Anolis sagrei: one gene and its partner. The protein of the gene in region 1 purifies or fractionates together with the protein of each later gene. This does not show direct contact. Links are inferred from orthologs where the notes say so. Each region holds a gene or a part of one and is shown in the gene's direction. Other genes may lie near its edges.

Region 1 (7,112 bases):
CAGTCCAACTCCCTTCACCAGTGAAGGAAAACTTAATCAAAGCCCTCCTGACAAAGAGCCATCCAGCCATAGATATAGAAAGATATATATATGATTCACACACATACAGATATAGTATCATAGATTTGAGAGAACTCCTAAAGAAGGACAATTATATGTTACATGTTCCAGAGTGGGCAAACCAGACAATCTCCACATCAACACTGACAAAAAAAAACCAGCAAGAAATACTGTTTACTCACAAGCATTAAAAAATTACATATATTCGAAACCAACACTTTCTAATTACTTTATTTTCCAGATCACCAGACTGGGCCGCAGCAACGCATGGCAGGGGACGGCTGGTATATATATAAATTTAATGCTCATTTGAGGGGGAAACATAACTCAGAAACCACTGGATGGATTGACATGAAATTTTGACAGAATACACCTAATAGTCCAACAAGTGTCCATCACCCCTAAAAACACATTAAAAAACCCAGCAGACCAGACTTTAACCCCCCCCCCCAAATAAATCATATATACACATTCATATACATATACACATGCATACATATATATATGTGTGCGTGTGTGTGCATTTGGGCCTTTGGACTGAGAGGGGCGGTATATAAATATGGTAAATAAATATACACAAGCACACACAAATATACACACATACATATACACCTACCCACACATACATATACACATACATACATAAATATATATATCCACTGTTTAAAATCGTGAAAGAGGATGCTGTCAAGGTGATGCATGCCACATGCCAGCAAAAATGGAAAACACAAGAATGGCCTTCAGACTGGAAAAAATCAATTTATATCCCCATACCAAAAAAGGGAAATGCTAAAGCAGGGGTCCTCAAACTTTTTAAATAGAGGGCCAAGTCAAAGTCCCTTAAACTGTTGGTGGACTGGATTATAATTAAAAAAAATGAATTCCTATGCACATTGCACATATCTTATTTGTAGTGCAAAAAACATTTTAAAACAATACAATAATTAAAATTAAGAACAATTTTAACAAATATAAACTTATTAATATTTCAATGGAAAGTGTGGTCCTGCTTTTGGCTGATGAGATAGGATTGTTGTTGTTGTTGTGTGCTTTCAAGTCGTTTCAGACTTAGGTTGACCCTGAGCGAGGGCCGGATAAATGACCTTGGAGGGCCGCATCCGGCCCCCGGGCCTTAGTTTGAGGACCCCTGTGCTAAAGAATGCTCAAACTTTTGTACAGTGGCTCCTATTTCTCATGCCAGTAAAGTAATGCTCAAGATCCTGCAAGGAAAACTCCAGCAATACACGGAGAGAGAGTTGCCAGATGTACAAGCTGGGTTTAGAAAAGGCAGAGGAACAAGAGACCAAATTGCCAATATCCGCTGGATAATGGAGAAAGGCAGGGAGTTTCAGAAAAACATCTATTTCTGTTTTATTGACTATTCTAAAGCCTTTGACTGTGTGGATCATAACAAACTGTGGCAAGTTCTTGGTGGGATGGGCATACCAAATCTCCTTGTCTCTCTCCCGAGGAATCTGTATAGGGACCAAGTAGCAACAGTAAGAACTGACCATGGAACAACAGACTGGTTCAAGATTGGGAAAGGCGTACGGCAGGGTTGTATACTCTCACCCAACCTATTCAACTTGTATGCAGAACACATCATGAGATGTGCGGGGCTTGAGGAATGCAAGGCTGGGGTGAAAACTGCTGGAAGAAACATTAACAACCTTAGATATGCAGATGATACCACTTTGATGGCCGAAAGCGAGGAGCTGGGGAGCCTTCAAACAAAGGTGAAAGAAGAAAATGCAAAAGCTGGGTTGTAGTTAAATATAAAAAAAATCAAGATTATGGCAACAAGAATGATTGACAACTGGGAAATAGAGGGAGAAAACATGGAGGCAGTGACAGACTTTGTATTCCTAGGTGCAAAGATTACTGCAGACAGGAAATCCTAGGTGCAAAGATTACTGCAGACAAGCGTCTCCTGATTTCCTGCAGCCAGGAAATCAGGAGACGCTTACTTCTTGGGAGGAGAGCAATGACCAATCTTGATAAAATAGTGAAGGGTAGGGAATCACATTGGCAACAAAGATCCTCATAGTTAAAGCAATGGTATTCCCCACAGTCACCTATGGATGTGAGAACTGGACCAAAGGGAAGGCTGCGCGAAGGAAGATAGATGCTTTTGAACTGTGGTGATGGAGGAAAGTGCTGAGAGTGCCTCGGACAGCGAGAAGATCCAACCAGTCCATACATCAGGAAATAAAGTCCAACTGCTCATTGGAGGGAAGAATAGTAGAGACAAAGTTGAAGTACTTTGGCCACATCATGAGAAGACAGGAAAGCTTAAAGAAGACAATGATGCTGGGGGAAATGGAAGGAAAGGGGAAGAGGGGCCGACCAAGGGTAAGATGGATGGATGGCATCCTTGAAATGACTGGCTTGACTCTGAAGGAGCTGGGGGAGGTGACAGCCGACAGGGAGCTCTGGCGTGGGCTGGTCCATGAGGTCACAAAGAGTCGGAAATGACTGAACAAATGAACAACAACAATATAAAGAAGGTATATCTTCCAACTTCATAGAGCTGGGATTTTCGGTGGACCACAGTATGCTTGTTGTGGAACACACTCGTTTTCAAAGGTATTTTAAGAAGAAAAACTGCCTTGGACAGCGAGAGGATCCAACCAGTCCATACTTCAGGAAATAAAACCCGACTGCTCATTGGAAGGAAGGATATTAGAGGCCAAGATGAAGTACTTTGTCCACATCATGAACAGACAGGAAAGCTTAGAGAAGACAATGATGCTGGGGAAAATGGAAGGAAAAAGGAGGAGGGGCCGACCAAGGGCAAGGTGGATGGATGGCATCCTTGAAGTGACTGGTTTGACTCTGAAGGAGCTGGGGGTGGTGAAGACTGACAGGGAGCTCTGGCGTGGGCTGGTCCATGCAGTCACGAAGAATCGGAAAGGACTGAACAAATGAACAACAACAACAACAAACACATATATATATATATATGCATATACACAAGTCAGTGAGAGCCGTTCAGCAGTGGAACTCTCTGCCCCGGAGTGTGGTGGAGGCTCCTTCTTTGGAAGCTTTTAAACAGGGGCTGGATGGCCATCTGTCAGGGGTGATTTGAATGCAATATTCCTGCTTCTTGGCAGGGGGTTGGACTGGATGGCCCATGAGGTCTCTTCCAACTCTTTGATTCTATGATTCTAAGTGGACACACATACACAATATACATATACACATATAAACACCGAAATACACAAATATATACACACATATACACACACATGGAGCCCCCGGTGGCGCAGTGGGTTAAAGCACTGAGCTGCTGAGCTTGTTGATCGAAAGGTCGCAGGTTCGATTCCGGGGAGCGGCGTGAGCTTCCGCTGTTAGCCCTAGCTTCTGCCAACCTAGCAGTTCGAAAACATGCAAATGTGAGTAGATCAATAGGTACCGCTCCAGCAGGAAGGTAACGGCGCTCCATGCAGTCATGCCGGCCACATGACCTTGGAGGTGTCTACGGACAACACTGGCTCTTCGGCTTAGAAATGGAGATGAGCACCACACCCCAGAGTCAGACATGACTGGACTTAATGTCAGGGGACTACCTTTACCTTTACTACACACACATATACACAAATATATACTCACACATAAACAGATATACACAGACTAGGCCACAGCAATGTGTGGCAGGGGATAACTAGCAATATAATAATAATACATTTTATTTATACCCCGCCACCATCTAACATGAGGCCAAGCCCAATAATAATACAGCCAAGTTAAACACAAAATAACAGAAAGTAACAAAATAAGTAACAAAATAAAACAAACAGTGCAAAACAATATCATTATAGTGTAATAGGAATGACAGTAGGCCCTGCATTGTAGAATGAATGGAGTTGGAAAGTGCCCTGGCTCAAGGCTGGAAGGGATTCTGGGCACCAGGGACGAGAAAAGGGCGAAAGGCCTTGCCAAACTACAACTCCCATGCTGCTGAAATGATGAACCCGGAAGGCGCTCCCAGGCGAAGCCATTGCAGGGAAAGAAGAAAGAGGGAGAAGAGCAGAGGAGGCTGGCTTTCCCTCCTGGAAAGGGGAAGTGAGCCTGGCTTTTCCGCCCTGCTTCCCCTCCCTCTTCCTCCCCTTGTGTTTCTCTTTCTCTGGCTGGAGGGAAGTGAAAATGAAATCGACTTTTCGGAGAAATGATGAAAGCGGCGCCGGCTGCCAATGAGCTTCTGCGGCAAACTTCCGCACCTCTTTCTCCCCTCCTCCTCCTCCTCCTCGTCGTCCTCCTCCTCCCCGCACAAACAAGGCCTGGGAAGAAGGAGAAGGAGGAGAAGGAGGAGAAGAAGAAGGGGAAAGGGAAGGGGAGCCCGAGGAGCCCAGGAAGGGAAGAGGGGCCAGCCAAGGGCTTGGCTCCCCCCAAAGCCCGGCGCCCGCCTTGTTTTGCTTTCGATCTGGAGTCACTCGAGGCGGAATTAACTTTTAGTTTTGCTCCCGCCGCCGCCATCCAACCAACCCGGCCGCCTCTTTCCCTTTCCATTTCGCGTCTCTTGGCAACCGAGGCAACCTTGAGGAAGGAATATCTGCACACCATTCCGGGTAAGGAAAGAGAAACAACCATTGTTTTTGGAATCTGCAAGCCGAGGGAGACATTGATTGATTATTTTTCCTTTCCACATCTCAATAGGAGCACGTGCCAACTGCTTTGCATCTCCAAAGGTTGCCATCAAAACTAGGGGGATTTTTAAATTTCACTTTTGGATTTGCATTTGGAAGGAAAGAAAAGGGTTGGGCTGCTAGGATTGGCTATAGACTCAAGGCCCTTCCAAGCAGGCCCAGGATCCGATCCCAGGTTTTCTGTTTGTCCCAGATTATTTTGCAGTGGAGACTCATATAGCATAAAATCTGGGATCAGATCCTGGGATATAAGGACAGTGTGGTAGAGCCCTTAGAGCCCTTCCACATTTCCTCTCTATCCCAGGATCTGATCCCAGATTATCTGTTTATCCCAGATTATCTGGCAGTGGAGACTCATAATCCAGTTTAGAGCATAAAATCTGGGATCAGTTCCTGGGATATGAGGACAGTGTAGCAGAGCCCTTAGGGCCCTCCCACACTTCCTCTCTATCCCAGGATCTGATCCCAGATTATCTGTTTATCCCAGACTATCTGGCAGTGGAGACACATATAATCCATTTTCAAGCATAAAATCTGGGATCAGATCCTGAGATATAAGGACAGTGTAGTAGAGCCCTTAGGGCCCTTCCACGCTGTCTCTTTATCCCAGTATCTGATCCCAGATTATCTGTTTATCCCAGATTATCTGGCAGTGGAGACTCATATAATCCAGTTTCAATCATAAAACCTGGGATCAGGTCCTGGGATATAAGGACAGTGTAGCAGAGCCCTTTGGGCCCTTCCACACTTCCTCTCTATCCTAGGATCTGATCCCAGATTATCTGTTTATTCCAGATTATCTGGCAGTGCAGACTCATATAATAGTATCAAGCATAAATTCTGGGATCAGATCCTGGGATATAAAGACAGCGTAGTAGAGCCCTTAGGGCCCTTCCATACTGCCTCTCTATCCCAGGATCCGATCCCAGAATATCTGCTTGAAACTGGAATAATACACTGGACATTTAAAGCAGTTCGAAACTGAAACAGCCAAGCAACCAAACTCCCGCAAAAGATGTGCATTTGTGGTTGGTACAATCACCACCCCAGGCTTCAGAGTGGTACCAGCATTTCTTTTGGAATCCTCTAGCGCAGCAAAACCCACTTCTCTTCAATGCTGGTTTGAAACCGCGTTAAGCGCTCAGTGTGGACTTTGCCAAAGTGGGATTGTGGTAGGGTTATTTCAGGGACTTGTACTGTTTTAAGCTTCCCAGAGAAAACAATGGATCCTTGTTGTTGGCCTCTCCAAGGGCCCTTCCAGCCAGGCCTTACCTCCCAGAATCTGATCCCAGGTTTTAGATTATATGAGTCCCCACTGACAGATAATCTGGGATAAAAAGAAAACCAGAGATCAGTTCCTGGGATACAGAGCCTGTCTGGAAGGGCCCCAAAAGACTATTTCCTCTACATTAGGGGCTATTCCACACAGCTTTATATCCCAGAATATCAAGGCAGACAATCCCACATTATCTGATTGTGACTCAGATAACCCAATTCAAAGCAGATATTGTGGGATTATCTTCCTTGATATTCTGGGATAGAGGACTGTCTGGAAGAGCCCTGGATTAGCATTATTATTTGAGTCTCTCTGGGCCCTTCCAGACAGGTCCAGTATCCCAGGATCTGATCCCAGCTTTTCTGTTTATGGGTTGTTGTAGGGTTTTTTCGGGCTAGATGGCCATGTTTTAGAGGCATTTTCTCCTGATGTTTCGCCTGCATCTATGGCAAGCATCCTCAGAGATAATGAGGTCTGTTGGAACTAGGAAAATGGGTTTATATATCTGTGGAATGACCAGGGTGGGAGAAAGAATTCTTGTCTGTTGGAGCTAGGTGTGAATGTTTCAACTGACCACCTTGATCAGCATTTGAAGGCCTGGCAGTGCCTGGGGAAATCTTTTGTTGAGAGGTTTATAATCTTTTGTTGAGAGGTTTATAATCCTGTTTAATGCAGAAAACCTGGGATCAGATCCTGGGGACAGTGTAGAAGGGCCTGCTTCGAAACTGGCTTGCTCTTCCCCTGCAGAGGCCTTCCAAAGCATTTTTCCCCCAACCTTTGGCCCTTTACGTTTGTGGGACTCCAACTCCCAGAAGCCTCAGCCAGGTTGGCCAATGGCGAGGGATTCTGGGAGTTGGAGTCCTCTTTTTGGGAAGAGGCAGGAAGGACAGCACTGGCTGGCTTGGGAGGGAAGAAGAGTCTAATAACGACCACTTCTTTAACAACTGGAGATTTGGCGAGAAGCAAGGGAGGAGGGAAGGGCTTGTGGGTGACCCCACCCGCAGAAGGAGGTTCTGTGTTACACAAGCCTGGCGCGCGGTCACTTCCTTTTTCTCGGCCGGGTCACGCTGTGACGTTGACGCTCGGGCTGGCCAATAGGGAAGCGAGCTCGCGCCGAGGGAAGGCGCCAA
Region 2 (7,356 bases), on another chromosome or scaffold:
TAGCACTACCCCACAGAGTTTAACTCAGCTAGACTCAATGTCAAGGGGAAACCCCATCTTGAGCCAAAAGGAGAGGCAGGTAATAATAATAATAATAATAATAATAATAATAATAATAATAATTTGGAAACAGAAGATAGATGCCTTAACACCAGGGTGGAGTGTGAAGGTAGCCTGAGACATCTAAAAGACTGGCACAAAAGAGAATAATCCCTCTCTGGGAAAAGCAAAGCTGGAAGAAGCCTCAAGATCGAAAAGCTACAACAAAAGTCAAATGAGGACATGGGCACTGGGGTGTGTTTCTAAAACAGATATGATTAAAGCATGGTTCTTTTCCAGCTCTTCCCCCAAGGATCAATACATGCTGCAGTTCAAAGGAAGGGAGACTGAAATGCAGTCAGAGAACACATGATCACCATCAGGGCAAAATGGGTTTTTAGAGGAGGTACCAGAGTGGAAACCAGTTTGCTCTGATTTCACTGCCTGCACTCAGCTGGCAGGTATCCAGTTTGCTTTGCATTTAACTGGGCTGAGTGAAGGCAAAGACTTTATTTAAATAGACCTCCAACTTTTCCTGACTGAACATGACATGCATTTAGGTGGTTTTTTTAAAAAGTCATTGTCCTAAAAGTGGTTTTCCAATTGGACTGATGGTTTCATTAGAAAACCCAAAATTTGTATGTACCCCACATTATTTTAGCTGTTCCATTTTACCTTATACTGTAAGGATACAGGGCAAGTCAATGAACTGCAGCAGACGCTTCTCCACAGCACTCCTGATCTCACAATTATGCTCTTGACCCATTTAGGTGGGACTTTTCAATGAAAGGCTTCCATTCAAGCATCCCATTGGCCAGTCTCTCACTCTTGAGAATTGAGGCAGGATTTCTGCAGATCATAAGACCAAACCCACAGGAGTAGGTAGGGCAAAGGCTTCCGGATGCTCTTCTACACGGTTTCTCATGGCCCTAAATACTCTCAAAGGGTAGTTAGAATGTCTCCACTCTCTGTGTCCTTTTACAGAGGGATGGCCTGAGCTTAATAGCATCACCTGCTCTAAGATACATCTTCCCAAGCTTTTTGGTGGCTATTTACTCCCCAACATGCCAGTCACAAGTAAAGGTTTCCCCTTAAGTCTAGTCATGTCTGACTCTGGGGAGTGGTGCTCATCTTCATTTCTAAGCCAAAGAGCCAGCATTGTCCGTAGACACCTCCAAGGTCATGTGGCCAGCATGACTGCATGGAGTGCTGTTACCTTCTCGCAGAAGCGTTACCTATTGATCCACTCACATTCGTATGTTTTCAAACTGCTAGGTTGGCAGAAGCTGGGCCTAACAGCGGGAGCTCACCCTGCTCTTTGGATTCGATCTGCCAACCTTTCGGTTAGCAAGTTCAGCAGCTCAGCAGTATACTAGCTATATCACCAGGAGGTGGGGGTGGGTTACTCAAATTTACTCTAATCTAATGCTCACCTTTTTTTTGGCTAAATTGCCTTGCTGAAATTAGGGTGTTAGATTTGGTGGCACATTAGACTAGAGTAAATATGGTATTTGTGCCCGTTGGTTGCAATCCCTTTCTTGGAAACTCTTCAGGGGCTGACATACTTATGAATAGTCACTAGACCATGGACTGCCACTTTGACTAGGATGGCTCTGAAAGTTTCCTTGCTATGACATGATTGGCCTGGGGATCCCAGCTTTGGGACTGACCCGCTCAAAGTTTTTTAAAGGGAGGCTAGAGAGAAAGACATCAGCCCAGCAAGCTTAAAGGAAACCCCACTGAGTGGAGCCCAAGGCCTCAGGAATTGTTCAGCTAAGTGTTAGACCACACTCTAGAGAGCAATGTTCAAATTGTTGCTCCACTGTGGAATGGCATGGCTTTAATAACTTTAAACCCAGTTCAAAACAGATAATGTGAGATTTTCGGCCTTGATATTCTGTGATGTATGACTGTTTGGAAGGGCCTGAAGCTTTGCAGACAACATCTGGAGAGCCAGTTACCTGTGCCTGATGTAAACCCAGAATATTATAGGAATTGTAAAAACTACAAATGCTAATTGTTGGAAGTTTTGTGGCTGTAAAGCAAGCTTAAGTGGTCGAGGGGGAAAAGGAAGGGGTGTGAGGCTGCGAGGAATAGTGGGAGTTGGAGTCCAAAACACTTGGAGAGCCCAAGTGTGTCCATGCCTGCTGTAAAGGGATTTGCTTGCACATATAGATAGAATGCACAAAGATAAACCAGTTCTGTCTTCTTGCAGCTAACACAATTTCAGACATCATTAAACAAGAAATCACATTTTCTTACTTTCTGTATTCTTGGGGAACAAAAATATTGCACCGTAAGTAACTACTTTCCTTGTGTAGCTACTCCTAGCCTAAAAACTGCCCCAAACTGAAAAACAAGTGACATCTTGATAGGGAATTGATAGCAGCAGGTGAAACATGGATGGAGAAGCTATGATATTTTGAGACTAAAAAAAAAGACACCTAAATGCCACACCTTTTGCTGAAAGATGGCTTCCCTTTATTGACTAAGTAAACAACAAACACAACATTTATGAGTCACAGGACCACTGGACAATGGATTAATCTTGACAAGCAATTAATATACAGTACCTACCTTGACTTCCTTCTCTTCTTGGCAAAGCTGTTTCGCTTTTTAACGTATGAGCTTTAATATTGTAGGCTGATGACTGTCATTTTCACAGCAATCTATATATTGTCATATTGTAAACTTAGTATTTTTTTAAAAAAAGGTGAGTTAGAAGAGAGGAAGAGAAACTGGATAGAGTAGCACTCATGGCTGGTATTTTTTTTTTTTGTAAGACCTACAATCTTCCATGGGATACTCAGCCTGAAAACAGAATGGTGATACATTTGAATTAAGTAAAGGAAATTGTAAAAGTTTCCCCTGACATTAAGTCCAGTTGTGTCTGACTCTGGGGGTTGGTACTCATCTCCATTTCTCAGCTGAAGAGCTGGCGTTGTCCATAGACACCTCCAAGGTCATGTGGCCAGCATGAATGCATGGAACACCGTTACCTTCCCACTGATGCAGTATCTATCTAATCACATTCTGCATGTTTTCAAACTATAGTGGCAGAAGCTGGGGCTAGCAATGGGAGCTCACCCCGTCCTGCGGATTTGAACCACCGACCTCATCAAGACCTGCAGTTTAGCAACTCTGTGGGTGGTGGTGCTCATCTCCATTTCTAAACTGAAGAGCCGGTGTTGTCCGTAGACACCTCCAAGGTCATGTGGCCAGCATAACTGCATGGCGTGCCGTTATGTTCCTGCTGAAGAGATACCGATCTGCTCACATTTTACATGTTTTCGAACTGCTATGTTGGCAGAAGTTAGGGCTAGCAATGGGAGCTCACCCTGTCCTGCGAATTTGAACTACCGACCTTCAAGTCATCAAGATCTGCACCTTAGCAACTCTGGGGGTGATGGTTCTCATCTCAAATTCTAAGCCGAAGAGCCAGCGTTGTCCGTAGACACCTCCAAGGTCATGTGGCCAGCATGGCTGAATGGAGCACCGTTAAGTAAGTAGTAGCCCCCCTATTGGCACCCCTCTTCACACTCAAGGCACCAGCATTCTTTGGCAGAGAAGGCCAAAGACTTTGTAAACTACATAGCCCTGAGCCGCGGCAGTTTAAAGCGGTATCAGTCTGCATTAAATCTCTATAGAGGTCTACCCCCTCCCCGTCTTTCTGATTTGCCATCCATTTCACTGCAGGAAAAGGAGGCCACGCAATTGTCAGAGATCCAAAGGAGGCTTTCAGAAAGCGAAAAGGTGGGAAATCAAAACTACATCTCTCTCTCTCTCCACCCCACTCCCCCCCCCCCCCCCCCGCAGACTTTACCCCTGCTTTCCTGGCTGGGTTCGGCTTTGGGGAACCTGCCATGGCGGAGACAGAGCCAGGCGGGAGGGAGAGAAGGAGGAAGGGGGGAGGGAGGGAGGGAGGGAGGGAGAGATCTCATGTTTGATTTTCCAAACATAGCCCTCGGTGTGTGAGTGAGCGAGGAAGGAGGGAGGGGAGCCTCCCTCGCCTCCCAGCAGCCACTCAGCTGTTGTACACACCCGAAGAAGGCGGGGGAGGGAGGGGGGGAGAAGAGAGGGAGAGGAGACGTCGGAAACGGGCAAGCTGCCGCGCATGCGCAATCCCCGCGCAACAAGTGGGCTCCCTGTCCTCAGACACACAAGAGAGGAAGTGGCTGCCAGCGGGGGGAGGAGAGGGGAGGGAGGGGGAGAGAAGGAGGGGCGAGCAAAGCAGAAGCTGATCGGTCAGTCAGTCAGCCGGCGCTCAAAAGGGGAATCGCAAAGGCTTACAAGGAAGAGGAGGAGGGGAGAGAGAGAGAGAGAGAAAGAGAGAGAGAGAGAGAGCGACGGGGTGACGTAGGCAGCCCCGCCCAAGGGGGCATCCGAGCGGAGGGCGCGAGGAGAAGAAGAAGAAGAAGGAGGAGGGGGAGGGGCTGAGGCGCGCGCGCGCAAGAGAGAGAGAGAGAGAGAGAGAGAGAGAAGGCGAAAGAGAGCGTCGCGCAGAGAGTGACACTCCGGCTTCCCCCGATCCGAATTCCGAGGATGTGAAGCCGAGGAGCCTGAGCAGCAGCAGCAGCAGCATTAGAAAAGAAGCGGAAGTGGCGGTGGAGACAAGATGCCGCCCTGAGGCGCCCTTGTGTTGTTGCCAAGCAGCCGCGGCGTGGGTCCCTTTCCCCCCCGCAGCCCCGAACCCTCGCGGAAGGGAAGAAGGCAGGAAGTGCGGGTCGGCAGCCTCCCTCGTGAAGAAGAGGAAGGAGCCGGAGCGGAGAAGGCAAGCGAGGCAAGGAGGGCAGTCCCGAGAGCGAGGCGGGAAGGCGACGCGTCCTCTTCCGCCATGTCTTCGGCGCCGGTCTCCTCCTCGCGGCGCCAGTCGTGCTACCTGTGCGACCTCCCGCGGATGCCGTGGGCCATGATCTGGGACTTCACGGAGCCCGTCTGCCGCGGGTGCGTCAACTACGAGGGCGCCGACCGCATCGAGTTCGTCATCGAGACGGCGCGGCAGCTCAAGCGGGCCCACGGCTGCTTCCAGGACGGGCGCTCCCCTCCCGTCGGCGCCGGCGTCAAAGCGTTGCCTCTCTCCGCCAAGGAAGCGGCGGTGGCGGCGGCGGCAGCGGCTGCGGCGGCGGCAGTGCAACAGCAACAACTGAACCATGTGGACGCCTCCGCCTCGAAAGCGCCTTCGGGCCTGGAGCGCTACGGGCTGAGCGAGCCTCCGCGCGGGCGGTTCGAGTACCCTCCGCCGCCTCCTCCGCACGCGGCGCGGCTCCCCAACGGCCTGGGCGGGCCCAATGGCTTCCCCAAAGCCCCCGACGACGGGCCCCCGGAGCTGAACCGCCAGAGCCCCAATTCCTCCTCGTCTTCGTCCGCGTCGTCGTCTTCCCGGAGGGGGACGCACTTGGGGGGCGGCCTGCCTCAAGGAAGTGGCGGCGGCGGCGGGGCCCAGCTCAACGTCCCGCCCAACTTGCTCCCGCAGACGCTGCTCAACGGGCCGGCGGGGTCCGGCGTGGCGCTGCCCCCTCCTCGCGGCCCCCCGACGTCCTCCTCCTCGTCCACCTCCTCCTCTTCGTCCACCTCTTCCACGTCTTCCTCCTCCTCCGGGGATCCCTGCGGGAAGCGCCCGGGCTCGGTGTCCTCCTCCTCGGGCGGCGCGGAGGCGGAGCGGGAGCTGAAGGAGAAGCAGCGCAACGCGGAGGCGCTGGCCGAGCTAAACGAGAGCCTCCGGAGCCGGGCGGAGGAGTGGCCGGGCAAGCCCAAGCTGGTGCGGGAGACGCTGCTGACGCTGGCCGGCTGCACGCCCTACGAGGTGCGCTTCAAGAAGGACCACGCGCTCCTGGGCCGCGTCTTCGCCTTCGACGCCGTGGCCAAGCCCGGCCTGGACTACGAGCTCAAGCTCTTCGTGGAGTACCCCGCCGGGTCCGGCACCGTCTTCGCCAGCGCCTCCGGGGTGGCCAAGCAGATGTACCAGGACTGCATGAAGGACTTCGGGCGGGGCCTCTCCTCCGGCTTCAAGTACCTCGAGTACGAGAAGAAGCACGGCTCGGGCGACTGGCGCCTCTTAGGGGACCTGCTCCCGGAGGCGGTGCGCTTCTTCAAGGAGCCCGTGGGCGCCGACATGCTCCCGCATCCCTTCCTCGACGCCGCCTGCCCGATGCTGCCTTCCGCCTTGGTGGGCATGCCGCGCGGGGCCGGGACGCCGTCGGGTCGCGGGCCCGGAGGCTCGGCGGGAGCGGGGAGCGGAGCCACCGGCTTGAGGAAGAGGAAGGCCTCCCCGGAGCCCTCGGACTCGGCCTCGGAAGGCAAGCTGAGCGAGGAGCAGCAGCGCCAGCAGTGGATGGCCAGCCAGAGCGAGGCCCTGAAGCTCACCATGGCAACGGGGGGCTTCCCTCCCCCTCCCCCGCCACCCCCTCACTCCCTCCGGACCACCCCGCCGGAGTCGGCCCCACAGAACGGGCAGTCGCCCATGGCAGCGCTTATGTCCGTCGCAGACACGTTAGGCAACGCGCACTCTCCCAAGGACGGCAGCTCGGTCCACTCCACCACTTCCTCTTCGTCTTCTTCCTCGTCCTCGTCCTCTTCCTCGTCCACGCGCCGGAACAGCAGCAGCCCGGTCTCTCCCGCCTCCGCGCCCGGCCCACGCCGCTTGGCCTCCCGCAACGGGGAGTTGAGCATGGCCCCGTCTTCCGCGCCCCCTCCCCCGCCTCCCCCTCCCCCTCCTCCGCCCAGCCTGGACCCCAACCACCCTCCCAACATCCCCGACTCGCCCATGGCCAACAGCGGACCCCTGTGCTGCACCATTTGCCACGAACGCTTGGAGGACACCCACTTCGTGCAGTGCCCCTCGGTGCCCGGCCACAAGTTCTGCTTCCCTTGCTCGCGGGAGAGCATCAAGGCCCAGGGCGCCACCGGCGAGGTCTACTGCCCCAGCGGGGAGAAGTGCCCCCTGGTGGGCTCCAACGTGCCTTGGGCCTTCATGCAGGGCGAGATCGCCACCATCCTGGCCGGAGACGTCAAAGTCAAAAAGGAGAGGGACCCCTGAAGGTGGTGGCGCCCCCTCCCTTCCTTCCTCCCCTCTCCCAAACCCCTTCCTCTTCCTCCCCGAAGATGTATTATTGTGAATAATAATAATAACAATATCCAAGACTCAAACGAAAAAGACCTTTCTGCAAACAGTTTTAGGCTTATGTATAGACCTTACCTTTTCGTCGTACGTTTCTATATTTTGAAACAAAAGGTATGTAACCCTTCTTGGTTTGAAGGATAGAGAGAGATGTTGTTTTCTTCTTCCCCTTGCCCTTCCCTCCCTCTGCAAACAGTATA

The links. Proteins that work in one complex are often made in the same cells at the same time.
Region 2: the proteins of IRF2 (region 1) and IRF2BPL purify together in Homo sapiens (affinity purification with mass spectrometry; 3 studies listed by BioGRID and IntAct, counting the BioPlex papers as one, with this or other methods). This does not show direct contact. The link is inferred for Anolis sagrei from reciprocal best matches to the Homo sapiens genes IRF2 and IRF2BPL.

What each region holds. Positions count from the first base shown.
Region 1 is NC_090025.1:66,334,727-66,341,838, reverse strand, and holds the start of IRF2 (interferon regulatory factor 2), read left to right. Parts: upstream 1-4,065; 5' UTR 4,066-4,628; intron 4,629-7,112. UniProt on the Homo sapiens protein: Specifically binds to the upstream regulatory region of type I IFN and IFN-inducible MHC class I genes (the interferon consensus sequence (ICS)) and represses those genes. Also acts as an activator for several genes including H4 and IL7.
Region 2 is NC_090021.1:306,537,209-306,544,564, reverse strand, and holds the start of IRF2BPL (probable E3 ubiquitin-protein ligase IRF2BPL), read left to right. Parts: upstream 1-4,260; 5' UTR 4,261-4,873; coding exon 4,874-7,075; 3' UTR 7,076-7,356. UniProt on the Homo sapiens protein: Probable E3 ubiquitin protein ligase involved in the proteasome-mediated ubiquitin-dependent degradation of target proteins. Through the degradation of CTNNB1, functions downstream of FOXF2 to negatively regulate the Wnt signaling pathway.